3 linked regions of the Canis lupus familiaris genome follow. The protein of the gene in region 2 purifies or fractionates together with the protein of the main gene of each other region. This does not show direct contact. Links are inferred from orthologs where the notes say so. Each region holds a gene or a part of one and is shown on either strand. Other genes may lie near its edges. The genes, in order: NIPSNAP2, PRKCZ and LLGL1.

Region 1 (4,096 bases), on a different chromosome or scaffold from region 2:
CATCTCAAAGCCTGTTTCTCAGCCCTTTCTCTTTTTTTTTTTTTTTTAAATTCTTATATGCTGGTCTTTATTTTTTTTTTTTAAGATTTTATTTATTATTTATGATAGTCACACGGAGAGGGGGAGAGGGGGAGAGAGAGAGAGAGAGAGAGAGAGGCAGAGATACAGGCAGAGGGAGAAGCAGGCTCCATGCACCGGGAGCCCGACGTGGGATTCGATCCCGGGTCTCCAGGATCGCGCCCTGGGCCAAAGGCAGGCGCCAAACCGCTGCGCCACCCAGGGATCCCTCTCAGCCCTTTCTCTATCCACACTCTTCAAGCAATCTCATCCATTCCTATGAATAATGTTTTGTTAAGAAGATTTTCAATTAAATGCAAAACAGTATAACAAAACCTACATATCTATCAACATTTAGCATTCCTATATACTGACAACTCCCAAATGTAACCTGTAGTCCAGACATCTCCTTTGAAGAGTCAAAAAGATCAAATAGGCCAAATACCTTTCCATTTGAATAGCTCACAGCCATCTCCAACTTTACCAGGTTCAGAAGTGCTCTGGATTCCCCCTTCCTGTTCTTCCTTCTCTGAATTAGGAGCAAGCTCCCAGATGGCAACAACTTTATTCACTGATATTTCCCAACAGCACCTGGCACATTATGGGCACTCATATGCCTATAGAACAAGGGACTTTCAGGAAATGGCACCAGCATCTGCCCAGTTGGCCACGACCCTTGATTCTGTCTGCTTTCCAAATCAGACTGGTATGTTAAAAACACAGGCCAGATCCTGTCACACTAGAATTTATATCTTTAAATGTCTTCCATGGCTTTCAGTATAAATTCCAAACTCTCTAAAATGGCTTGCAAGGCCTGGAATTATGGGGCTACTGCTCCCTGCCACCTGTCTTCTAGCCTCTCTTCCCTTTACTATGCTCCCCTTCCTAGGCTTTTCTGGAGCTTGCTGGTATGCCTCACTCCTTCCCAGTCAGGGCTTTCCTGCACACTGACCCTTCAGGTTTCAGCTCAACGGCACCTTCTTGGAGAGGCCTTCCATGATTTCATGTGGTAGGTTCCCTGAGGTTCTCTCACACCACCTACCTCAATCTTTAAGTCTGTATGGGTTTTTACCTCTGCCATATGGCTTGCTGGGCATAGTGACCCATAGTGACTATTATGCTGAGTTCCACAAAACTTCAAAAACATATACATTCATATACATTCAGTATTTGTAGAAGCAGTGAATTAATTGGGTCTAGACTGAGTCCTAAAGAACATCTACAGTTAAGGCAGTCAAAAGATACAAGGGGCCTGAGAGAGTAATCCAAGAGCTGACATGTTGGGCTTCAGTTTCAAGAGCATTTGGCCCCACAAGAAGTGGGGGTACTGGGCAGACCCAGGTCCAAATCTCCAGTTTACTAGTTTTGTGACTATGGGATCTATAGGTGAATATGCTGGGTCTTTTTGGAAAAAAGAAAATATGAATTTCATAGTTTCTTATCACCTGTGTGAAAAAAAATAAGACACACAGCAGATGCTCAGTAACAGAATGAAAATAAAAGGTTGATTTGTTCATCAACTTGGAAACATAAACATCAAATTTGGAAACACAAGGGGGATCCCTGGGTGGCTCCGCGGTTTGGCGCCTGCCTTTGGCCCAGGGCGCGATCCTGGAGACCCGGGATCGAGTCCCGCATCAGGCTCCTGGCATGGAGCCTGCTTCTCCCTCCTCCTGTGTCTCTGCCTGCCTCTCTCTCTCTGTGTCTATCATAAATAAATAAATCTTTAAAAAAAAAGTTGGAAACTCAAGCTGGACATCAGTCCTAGGAAGGGTGCCAGGCCTGAAGCCTGATAAACTTGAGTTCAAATGCCTTTTCCAGCTAGAGGTCTCACCTCCATGGAGATTACGTCTCATCTATAAAATGCAGATCCTGTTACTTAAGATTGGTACTAGGATTAAATTAAATAAACTCTCTGGCCCATAATAAGAGTTTAAAGAACAGGCAGTCCCTTTACTCTTTCGTTAAGCAGCAACTGAATTTAGTTCTAGAGGCTCGTTATTAAACCACAGATAACGTTTAAATGATAAATGTAAAGAAAGCAAGAAAGCAAATCTATGTAAGTCAGTAGGAGCTTGGTTTTTGATGGAAAACAGGACATGGATGTGTCAGAGGGATGAATTCAGGAGAGCCGAATATTTAATCCACAGAGGCTAGAAAAAGTTTAAAGTTGAACCCAAGGCCTACTTGGGGCTGATGCCTTGTAAAACCTTTCTGATCCGTCACCTACTTCTCCATCCCACTCCGGCGGCCGGCAGCGTCGAGCCCACCCCGCGACGGCCCCGCGCTCCCGGGGCTCACCGGCAGGCGCTCTTCTTCCCCCTGGAGCTCGTGCTGTCCGCAGCGCCCTCGCAGAGCGGACCCCAGGCCCTGCGCACAGCCCGCCCTGGGCGCCCGCGGGCAGCCGGATGCCGAGTCCAGGGCCTGGGGTCGCGCCGGGTCAAGGTCCCCCAGGCCAGGCCCACACGGCGCGCGGACGTGGCCTGGGCACCGGGCGCCGTCCCCGCCGTGACCTTGAGCACGACGGCCGGGACCGCGCTCTGACTGTGCCGAGGCCCTCAGCCGCCCCGCCCGCCCGGCCCGGCCCGGCCCCCGCTGCCCCGGCGGGCCTGCTCGAGGGAGCGCTAGCGGGCCGTGGACCCGCGCCCTCCGCCCTGGCGGCCACTCCCCGGCCGGTCCCGGGAGGGGCAGCGCTGCTCACCGGAGCGCAGGCTGCAGGCTGCAGGGAGCGGCCCGCCGCAGGACGCCGCCGGCCCAGGCCGCTCCGCAGGCCTGCACGACTCGCGCCGCCATCTTGCTCTGGCGCCTGGGCTCCCGCCGCGCGGGCCGCCGCTGACGCCGCCGACGCCGCCGCCGCCCCACGGCCACCACCGCGACCCCTCCCCCGGCCGGCCCGCCGAGGCGGGGGTGGGGCGGAGGGCGGGGCCCGCCGAGCGGGGCGGGGCGGGGCGGGGCCGCCGGGGTGAGGGCGGGGCCGCCAGGGGCAACTGACGGCGAAGCAGGAGAGGACATCGCCCCCTGCGGAAGAAGCTGGGTGTCGTGACCCGCCTGCGCAGGAGAAATATGAGCAGACGTTACTGTACAGTACCGGCCCGGCTCAGCGGTTTAGCGTGGCCTTCGGCCCAGGGCCTGATCCTGGGTCCTGGGATCGAGTCCCACGTCAGGCTCCCGGCATGGAGCCAGCTTCTCCCTCTGCCTGTGTCTCTGCCTGTGTCTCTCATGAATAAATAAATAAGATCTTAAAACAAACAAACAAAAAAAACAAAAAAAAAAACGTTCTGGATTGTTTGTTGCTTGGGTGCTGAGTTTGATAAGTCCAGTTATGAAATGAGCAGAAGATATGAACAAAAATTTCTCTAAAGACATACACATGGCCAACAAGCACATGAGAAAATGCTCCGCATTGCTTTTTATTAGGGAAATACAAATCGAAACCACAATGAGATACCACCTCACACCAGTGAGAATGACGAAAATAACAAGACAGGAAACAACAAATGTTGGAGAGGATGTGGAGAAGGGGAATCTTCTTGCACTGTAGGTGGGAATGTGAACTGGTGCAGCCACTCTGGAAAACTGTGTGGAGGTTCCTCAGAGTTAAAAATAGTTACCCTACACCCAGCAATTGCACTGCTGGGAATTTACCCCAAAGATACGGATGTAGTGAAACCCAGGACACCTGCACCCAATGTTCATAGCAGCAACGTCCACAACAGCCAAACCGTGTAAGGAGCTTGATGTCCTTCGACAGATGAATGGATAAAGAAGATATGCTATATGTATACAATGGAATATTACTCAGACATCAGAAAGGATGAATACCTACCATTTGATTCGACGTGGATGGAACTGGAGGGTATTATGCTGAGTGAAGTAAGTCAATCGAAGAAGGACAAACATCATATGGTTTCACTTATATGGGGAATATAAGAAATAGTGAAAGGGATTATAAGGGAAAGGAGGGGAACTGAGTGCGAAAAATCAGAGAGGGAGACAAACCATGAGAGACTCCTAACTCTGGGAAACAAAGGGTTGCAGA
Region 2 (3,643 bases):
GCTGAGTGCTCATGGACATGGTGTTTCCCTCTCGGGGGATGAAGGTATCTGGAATGAGATACCAAAGGCCACATGGACGTGAAGTTTAATATGGTTAAAATGATGAGTTTTGTTACGTGCATTTTACTTCTATTGGAAGAAAGAAGCACTGGAAGCCAGGATGAAGACCCCAGAGAGGAAGCTCGAGCCGGCGCCTGCACTCACCTCATCATCGTGCACCAGCTCCTTCTTTACCACCTTCATGGCATACATCTGGTCGTTCTTCTTCAGTCGGACCAGGAGGACTTTGGCGTAGCTCCCACGCCCAATGACCCTGATCAGGTCAAAATCCTGCAGCCCGAGCCCCTGAGATATTTTGATTCCATCCATCCCATCGATAACTGGCTTGAGGTCCTGAGGACAGGAGAGAAAGTGCAAAATAACAAGACTCCTCCCAGGCGAGGCTGATGTCCCCGAGTGGGCCCTGGAGCTCAGAGTGCAGTTCTGCTCACGGCCCTGACCCCACAGCCACCCCACACCCACCATTCTCAGACCCTGGCCACTCCATGAGCAGGTGGGTGCCCAGGGCCAACCTCCCATCCACCCAGGGCTCTCCTGGGGGCTATGGAGTTTAGATAGCTGATGTCTGCAAAGCCTGGCCATGCCCTGAGCAAGGGCTACTGGAAACACAAAATGAAAGAGAAAGATGATCCAATTAGGAAAAGGAGCTTCCCTCCTATGGATTATTTCCAGTAAGGCTATTTCTCGTGTGGGCAGGAGGTAACTAAGTGCTGACATGTCCCAGACACAGAATGGCCAGGTAGAAAAGCCAGGGGACATTTGTCAGTTACTCTGGGAAAGCTTTGGCCCTTGCAAGGTAGGGCTGTTCTGAAGTTCTGGACAGAGGCTGCAAACTCCAGCTGGTGGGACTTCCTCACTCAAGAGAACAATCTCATATGCCTCACTTGTCACCCAGAGCTGGCCACACATTCAAGGCCAAACTGAACCTCTTGGTCCAAATCTGGGGAAGAAGACAAACAGGCAGCAGAGGGCTTTCCCAGAACAGAAGGAGCAAATCACGATCCCAGGGTTTATGCTTAACGAGACAACTTTGGAGAAGCTCCAGGCCACCTAAAGACGGGGATAGGTTCTCAGGGGTTGCCAGGGGGACCAACTGCAGGGTGAGAAGCTTGGAACTCAGTCTCACCCGCTGACCTCCAGGGATGCGAGAGGGGCTGGGGATTGAGCCCATTCTCTACCATCCAATGACTAAACCAATCATGCTCCTATTATGAAGTCTCCTAACAAATCCCCAAGGACAGTATCTGGAGAGCTTCAGGTGGGTGAACGTGTGGAGGTAAGCCTGGACAGGGTACAGCAGCTCTGTCCCCTTTCCCATCCCTGGCCCTGTGCAGCTCTTCCTTTGGGTTCTTTCTGAGCTACATCCTTTTATCATAAACCAGAAATCTATTAAGCAAGATGTTTCTCTGAGTTCTGTGAGTTGCTCAAGCAAACTAAAAGAACCCACTGAAAGGGTCATGTGAACCTGATTTACAGCTGGTTGGTCAGAAGCACAGGTGACCACTTGGCCTGCAAGTGGCACCTGAAGGGGGGCAGTCTCATGGGCCTGAGCCCTTGAGAGGCTCCTGTGGGAGCAATGCCAGCTCCAGGTAGTTGGCGTCAGGACTGACTGGAATTGCAGGGCACCTGACCAGTGTTCCCCAAGCACTGGAGAATTGCTTAGTGATGTGGAAAAAGCACAAAAGACAAATAAAGGAAGGGTTTTATGCAAATAAAATTTCACAAAAATTGCAGCTCAAGAGTCAGCTCTGGACCCACTCCACCATCTGGGCAGAGGGGGTGCTGGGGAAACCAAACCCACAGCAGATATGGTGCCACAGCCGGGCCCCAGAGAGCAGCCTCTGGAAGATTCATAGAGGATGTGCCCCAAGCAAGACTGAGCTACGACAAGGCAGCAGCCCATCCTTCTGCAGCCAGGTCCTGGGCTGCACATACCCCTCTCCTCTTTGCCCCCAACAGACCAAGCTCTCCATACTGCACACCCCATCCACCAAAGCTAGAGGGCCCTGTGGCCCGGGTGGGCAGTGACCGCGGGAGCAGCATCCTGTTGCTTCATGAGGTACCAACTTCCCAGGGATGGGACACTCCTCCTGTGACAGGATACAAAAAGTAGTTGGAGAAAATGGAGGCATTTGAGCCTTGGGAGTGAGTGGAGAATCAAGTTACTAGCAAATCTGGTGAGCATCCACCAATATACCTCTGACCCTGGCCCACCTGGCCATAAACCTGCCCGACTCAGGACAAAGGCCAGACTATGACAGGTGATCCCTCCACACGGAGCCCTGCAGACGCTTGCAGCCAAGCAAGAGATTAAGACAATAAAAAGCAAGTGACCCACTCCCCAGGGAGCAGCCTCATTACCTGTTCTCGAAGCACATAAGCGGGGCTCTCCTTGCAGCCCCCTGGGGAGCCCAGGCCACCCTGTGCTGATGTGGGAAGAGCCACACCGACCATGGGTGTTGCGGAGGGCTCCCTATGTGCCAGGTGTGGCTGGGCATGCACACAAACACTCTCTGTACACTCACAGAAAGGTGTGGTCATTATCCAACTTGACAAAAGCAGATTCTGAGGTCAGTGAGTCCCCTGCCCCAGGACACTGCATCTTCCAATTGTACAGAGCCAGGAACAGTACAACGGACATTGTGTCCTCACACCTAAGATGCAGCAACAGCTCAGGTCTGCCACACCTAATAGCTTGGAGAGTCCTTCTGCATTAAATATTGGAGACTCCGTGCCACTCGGCCCTGAAGTCTTGGCCGGTGCCACCTGAGGTCCACAGACCACACCCTCACCTGCAGTGAGTGACAACTCTCAAACCTGCCTTGTTTATACTGAAATTTCCATAATTTCCTCAAAAATGAGCTAACAAACTTCTAAAAAAAAATTGGAAACTAATGAGCCATTTCATAGACTCACCTCAGAATCATCTTTAATGTTGTCGTGTTTCCGGGTTGAAGAAATGTAAGCAACTAGTGAGGAGAGAAAGAAAGTGGACATTGCAGGCATTGTCAGGACTGCAGCCTGAGACACAGGGATCCTGAGGCCCCTCACTGGTCACAGACACCAGCAGCCCAGCTAGGCCAGCCGCGCTCAGGCTGGACCACGGGCAGCCACACCTCACCCAGAGGCCTCAGGAAACGTGCTTCTTGGTCCCACCCACATCTGACTGTACACCTCTGGGGCAGAGCTTGGGAACCTGTGATTGTGACGGGTTTTCCTCAGTGATTCACCTGGAAGTAATTATTCACCAGATTTCAGTGTCTAGCCTTCCAGATGTTGTTCTCAGTGTGTGCAGGTGGGTGGGAGAGGGGATGGATGGAAGGATGGATGCATGGGTGGATGGATGAGTGGATACGTGGGTGGCTTGTTGTTTCTTAGGAGCCTCCTTTGTGTGAGGTACTGTGCTAAGTGATTTATGTTCTGCGGTCTCATTTCATCCTTCAAGGGCTCTCAGGGCACACAGGTCACACTGACCATGTGAGGGCTCAGGCTCTGAATAGTGCACACGCTTTGGGAGCTCAGAGTGGGGCTATTGGTCCAACTAGTATTCAGAATCTTTCTCCAAATGCTTCTGAGCGTTAAA
Region 3 (3,643 bases), about 16 Mb from region 2:
GATGCTGGAAGAGCAGCCCTGGAGCAGGAGTGGGCGCAGCACCCCTGGCTGAGTCTCCCCCCAACCGTGAGAGCTGAATGTGGGGGGGGGTATCACCCAGCCCCCAGCAGGGGCAGGACAAGCCTCCCACTGAGGCCGTATAGAAATCCGGAAGCTACTCTGACCGCTTTGGCAAGGGCCAGCAGGGCCAGGGACATGCCCATCGGGGGGCCAGGCCCACTCCACTCCCCTACAGTGTCCTGCTGGCACCTTCACAGCCTGATGGGACCCTCCTTGCCCCCAAACCTGCCCATCCAGCTACACACACTATGGCCTGTTGCCCCAGCCCCAACCGTTAAAAGGCCCCAGTGGTCGCCGGAGCATGGACACTACGTGCTCACCTCAGACTCAGCCAGAGTCCCCTATTTAACACCCGCCACGTCCATGTGGCACATCTCTCCAAGATCGGGCCCAGCTCGATGTACTCTTCACCCTGAACTCTAGCACAGGGGCAGCTTTGTGTGCCCACAGTGCTTCTGCAAGGCTGGCTCCAACCACGTCCAGCAGGCTCCACACCCCCATGCCCGGCAGCAGGTCCCCAGTCAAGTCCTCCAGTACCTGGCACTGTCAAAGCCCGGCCGACTAGGTGGCTGGAAGCTGAGCGCTTCCTCCAGGTGGGCGCAGCCATGGTGGTGGACAATCTCCCAGAGGTGAAGGCTGCTATCATCCAACAGAGTTAGCAGGCGGCCCTGGGGGATGAGCAGAGACCGAGCCTGGGCTGGGCTGGGCTGGGGTGGGGAGGGTGTGGGGGCTGTGGGAGTGGGCAAGGGTAGAGGCTCACCTGGCCGGGTAGGAAGTGCATCTGGGTGACGGTGGCTGTGTCCCGGTGTAGGCCAGTGAACTCCACACCAGGTGCACCATAGCTGCATGCACAGGTCAAGGACAGAGGCAGACACCGGAGATCCTCCTTCCCAAGAGCCATTCCAACAGGTCCCAGCCAGCCCAGCCTTCTGAGGTCCAGATGGGACCCCTCCTCCAGAAAGCACTGCCTTGTACCCACAAGATATCCCCAGGCTCTGAGCGCAGGCTTTGCTCTGCTCCTGCAAGTTGGTGCTGCTGTGTGACCTTCACTTCCTCATCTGTAGGATGGGCTGGTGAGCCCCACTCTCACCTTGTAGGACTGATGCAGGGCAAGTGAGAATAAAAACAGCTAGCACACTTGGCCCAGGCCTGGCACATGGTCAGCGTCCCGCTCTGTGTCAGCCTAGTGTGTGCTCCCACGTGCATAAGAGCTAGGCCCCACAGGTTGGGAGCACACAGGCAGAGGGGCCAGGCCAGGCCTGGGCACAGAAGCCTGGGGCAGAGGAGAGAGTCCAGGCTGCCTCTTCCCACAGCTCCAGGTCAACCTCCAGTTATGGACAAGGAAACCAACCTCCCTCCAGGGCAGGCAGCCAGTGGCCCCCACTGTGACCGGGGAGAGGCTTCGGCCTGCCCATTTCACAGACAATACACAGAGGCTTGGAAAGGGGTGAGCTGTCTCAAGTGCCAGGTGCCAGCACCAGAGTCACAGTAGCTCCAGGTTGGACAGTGGTCAGGCAGGGGGCCTTGGGAGGGAGGGCTGAGAGGGGTCAGCGTTGCCCGGCAACAACACAGGAGCCCTTGCTTCCAGCCAGAGTTGGGATTCCCTGCAGGAGCCAGGAGAACACAGAAGAGGGGACAAAAGAGAGGGCAGGAGCTGCTGGGCGGGAACCAAGGTTGCCAAGGAGACGGGCTGCCCCTGAGGGGGAGGGGTGGCTTCTGGGGCCAGCCTCAGTTTCCCAACCCAAGGCTCCAGGCTAGGGTAGTTTGGGGGAAGAAACGAGGGGAGAGAGGAGAGCCCCAGCCTCCTCCTCTGAGGCTGTCTCCTGGTCAGTACATCAGGTTCTTTGTGAGCACAAGGAGCACGGAGGGATGGCTCCAGTGACTAACGGAGTTGCAGGGCGCAGGGCACTGAGCAGCCACTGACAGGGAGAAAGGGGCTTCAGGAACACGATATACACGAGTGAGCAGGACTGCAGCGTGGGGGCGGGCAGAGGCCAGGCAATGCACGGCCCCCAGGGCCAGTGGGGGCTCAGGGGCGGGGGTCCAGGCCCTGTCCCTCCCCACCCCACTCCCTGCTCCGCTGGGGCCTCAGGGGCCCGTGGGAGTGGAGGGGCATCCCTGTCCAGCCACACTCCCCAGAGAAGGCAAACTCAAACCACAGGCCCAGGCACCCACCCCTGTCGGGCCACCTTGCCCTGGAGAGGGAAGACCCCAGGCACTGACTCATTTTGCTGCCAACCAGTGTCCCTGGCGAGGGTACTGAGAGCCAGAGAAGTGAGGGAGAGCACCCCTCACCCAGCAGCCCCCAGCCAGGCCCTCCACCTGGGTTTTCCCACCCAAGGGGCTTCATGGAGAGCAGCAGGGGTGGGGTTCTCCACTGCAGGCAGGGAGGCATTCAGCTGCCTGCTTGCCCCTCCAGCACCCCCCCCCCCACCCTGTGCCTGCAGGAAAATGCCCGCTTTGTGTGGCTCACACGGCCCATTGTGCAGCCGCCAGCACCCAGGTGGGGGCCGCGCAGCGCTCACCATGCTGAGCCTGGCACGGCCCCCAGCCTCTCGGCTCAACACATGTGTCTTCACACTTGCACACACGAGTGTCTGGTCACTGGAGCCAGGCCCACTGTGAGACCCTGGCCCACCAGCCACCCTTGCGGGGGTACAGTGTATGACCAGTGTCCTGGCCCAGCATCCCCAGTCAGTTGCTGGGACGATGGCAGGGTTGCCTAGGTAACTGGCTAGCTGAAATGCAGCTAGGGACAGCTGTGACCACCGCCAGCTGACCCCTCCCCCACAAACACTTCTGTAAGGAAGAGACTCAGGGCAGAGGCCACACCAACCTCCACCAGAACCCCTGCGCCAACTGCAGCCTCCAGGGCCGGGCCGGGCCCAAAGAGCCTGTACACAGGGGGCTGCAAGCAGGAGGTCCTGATGGGCCCTGAAGGCCATGGTTCGAAAAGGATACATCTTGACGGCCCCGGACCTTGTGCCGATGGCCATGATGCGAAGCTCTGAGTCGAAGGCCAGGGCGCTGGGCTGGTTGGGGAAGCCATGCTCCACAGTCTGCAGGGGGCGGGAGGGCATTGGCACAGGCACTGCCCCCCTCCCCCGCCCACCTGAGGCCCACCCCAAGGCAGCCTCCACACTAGCAGAGCTGCACAATAGACCCGTGCCTCAGTGTTCTCAGCTCTAAAACAGGCGATCACACCTCCAATCCACATGGCAGAGGCCTGCCCCCGGCCAAGGCTTTGTCCTTCACACCTGTGTCCGGCCCGCTGTGTGCAGGGCTCTGGCAACAGAGAGAAGCAGGACCCACAAGGTACCAGCAGAGTCAGCCCTACCCATCCCATGGAGTAGGCGTCTGCACCCTGCTCCGGGAGGAGAGGTGCCATGCCCTCTGAGGCCCACCAGCCCCACATGGAGATGGGAGGGCAGCACCTGGATCAGCTAGGTCAAGGCTCTTGACCCTCTCCCTCCCCCAGGGCCCCTCCTCCTGGTAGGGCCAGCCACAGGGCAGACCCCTGCCCACCAGGTTCTTGCTCCTTCCTTCCACTCACTACCCGCTCGTGCTTTCCTTAGTTTTCCCA

The links.
Region 1: the proteins of PRKCZ (region 2) and NIPSNAP2 purify together in Homo sapiens (affinity purification with mass spectrometry; 3 studies listed by BioGRID and IntAct, counting the BioPlex papers as one, with this or other methods). This does not show direct contact. The link is inferred for Canis lupus familiaris from reciprocal best matches to the Homo sapiens genes PRKCZ and NIPSNAP2.
Region 3: the proteins of PRKCZ (region 2) and LLGL1 purify together in Homo sapiens (affinity purification with mass spectrometry; 6 studies listed by BioGRID and IntAct, counting the BioPlex papers as one, with this or other methods). This does not show direct contact. The link is inferred for Canis lupus familiaris from reciprocal best matches to the Homo sapiens genes PRKCZ and LLGL1.

Annotation. Positions count from the first base shown.
Region 1 is NC_049227.1:362,737-366,832, reverse strand, and holds the start of NIPSNAP2 (protein NipSnap homolog 2), read right to left. Parts: upstream 2,915-4,096; 5' UTR 2,851-2,914; coding exon 2,759-2,850; intron 2,421-2,758; exon of another isoform or gene 2,296-2,420; coding exon of another isoform or gene 2,288-2,295; intron 1-2,287. UniProt on the Homo sapiens protein: Protein involved in mitophagy by facilitating recruitment of the autophagy machinery required for clearance of damaged mitochondria.
Region 2 is NC_049226.1:57,564,825-57,568,467, reverse strand, and holds part of PRKCZ (protein kinase C zeta type), read right to left. Parts: intron 3,030-3,643; coding exon 2,977-3,029; intron 2,567-2,976; exon of another isoform or gene 2,515-2,566; coding exon of another isoform or gene 2,422-2,514; intron 394-2,421; coding exon 205-393; intron 1-204. UniProt on the Homo sapiens protein: Calcium- and diacylglycerol-independent serine/threonine-protein kinase that functions in phosphatidylinositol 3-kinase (PI3K) pathway and mitogen-activated protein (MAP) kinase cascade, and is involved in NF-kappa-B activation, mitogenic signaling, cell proliferation, cell polarity, inflammatory response and maintenance of long-term potentiation (LTP).
Region 3 is NC_049226.1:41,539,901-41,543,543, forward strand, and holds part of LLGL1 (lethal(2) giant larvae protein homolog 1), read right to left. Parts: intron 3,120-3,643; coding exon 3,022-3,119; intron 903-3,021; coding exon 821-902; intron 729-820; coding exon 598-728; intron 1-597. UniProt on the Homo sapiens protein: Cortical cytoskeleton protein found in a complex involved in maintaining cell polarity and epithelial integrity. Involved in the regulation of mitotic spindle orientation, proliferation, differentiation and tissue organization of neuroepithelial cells.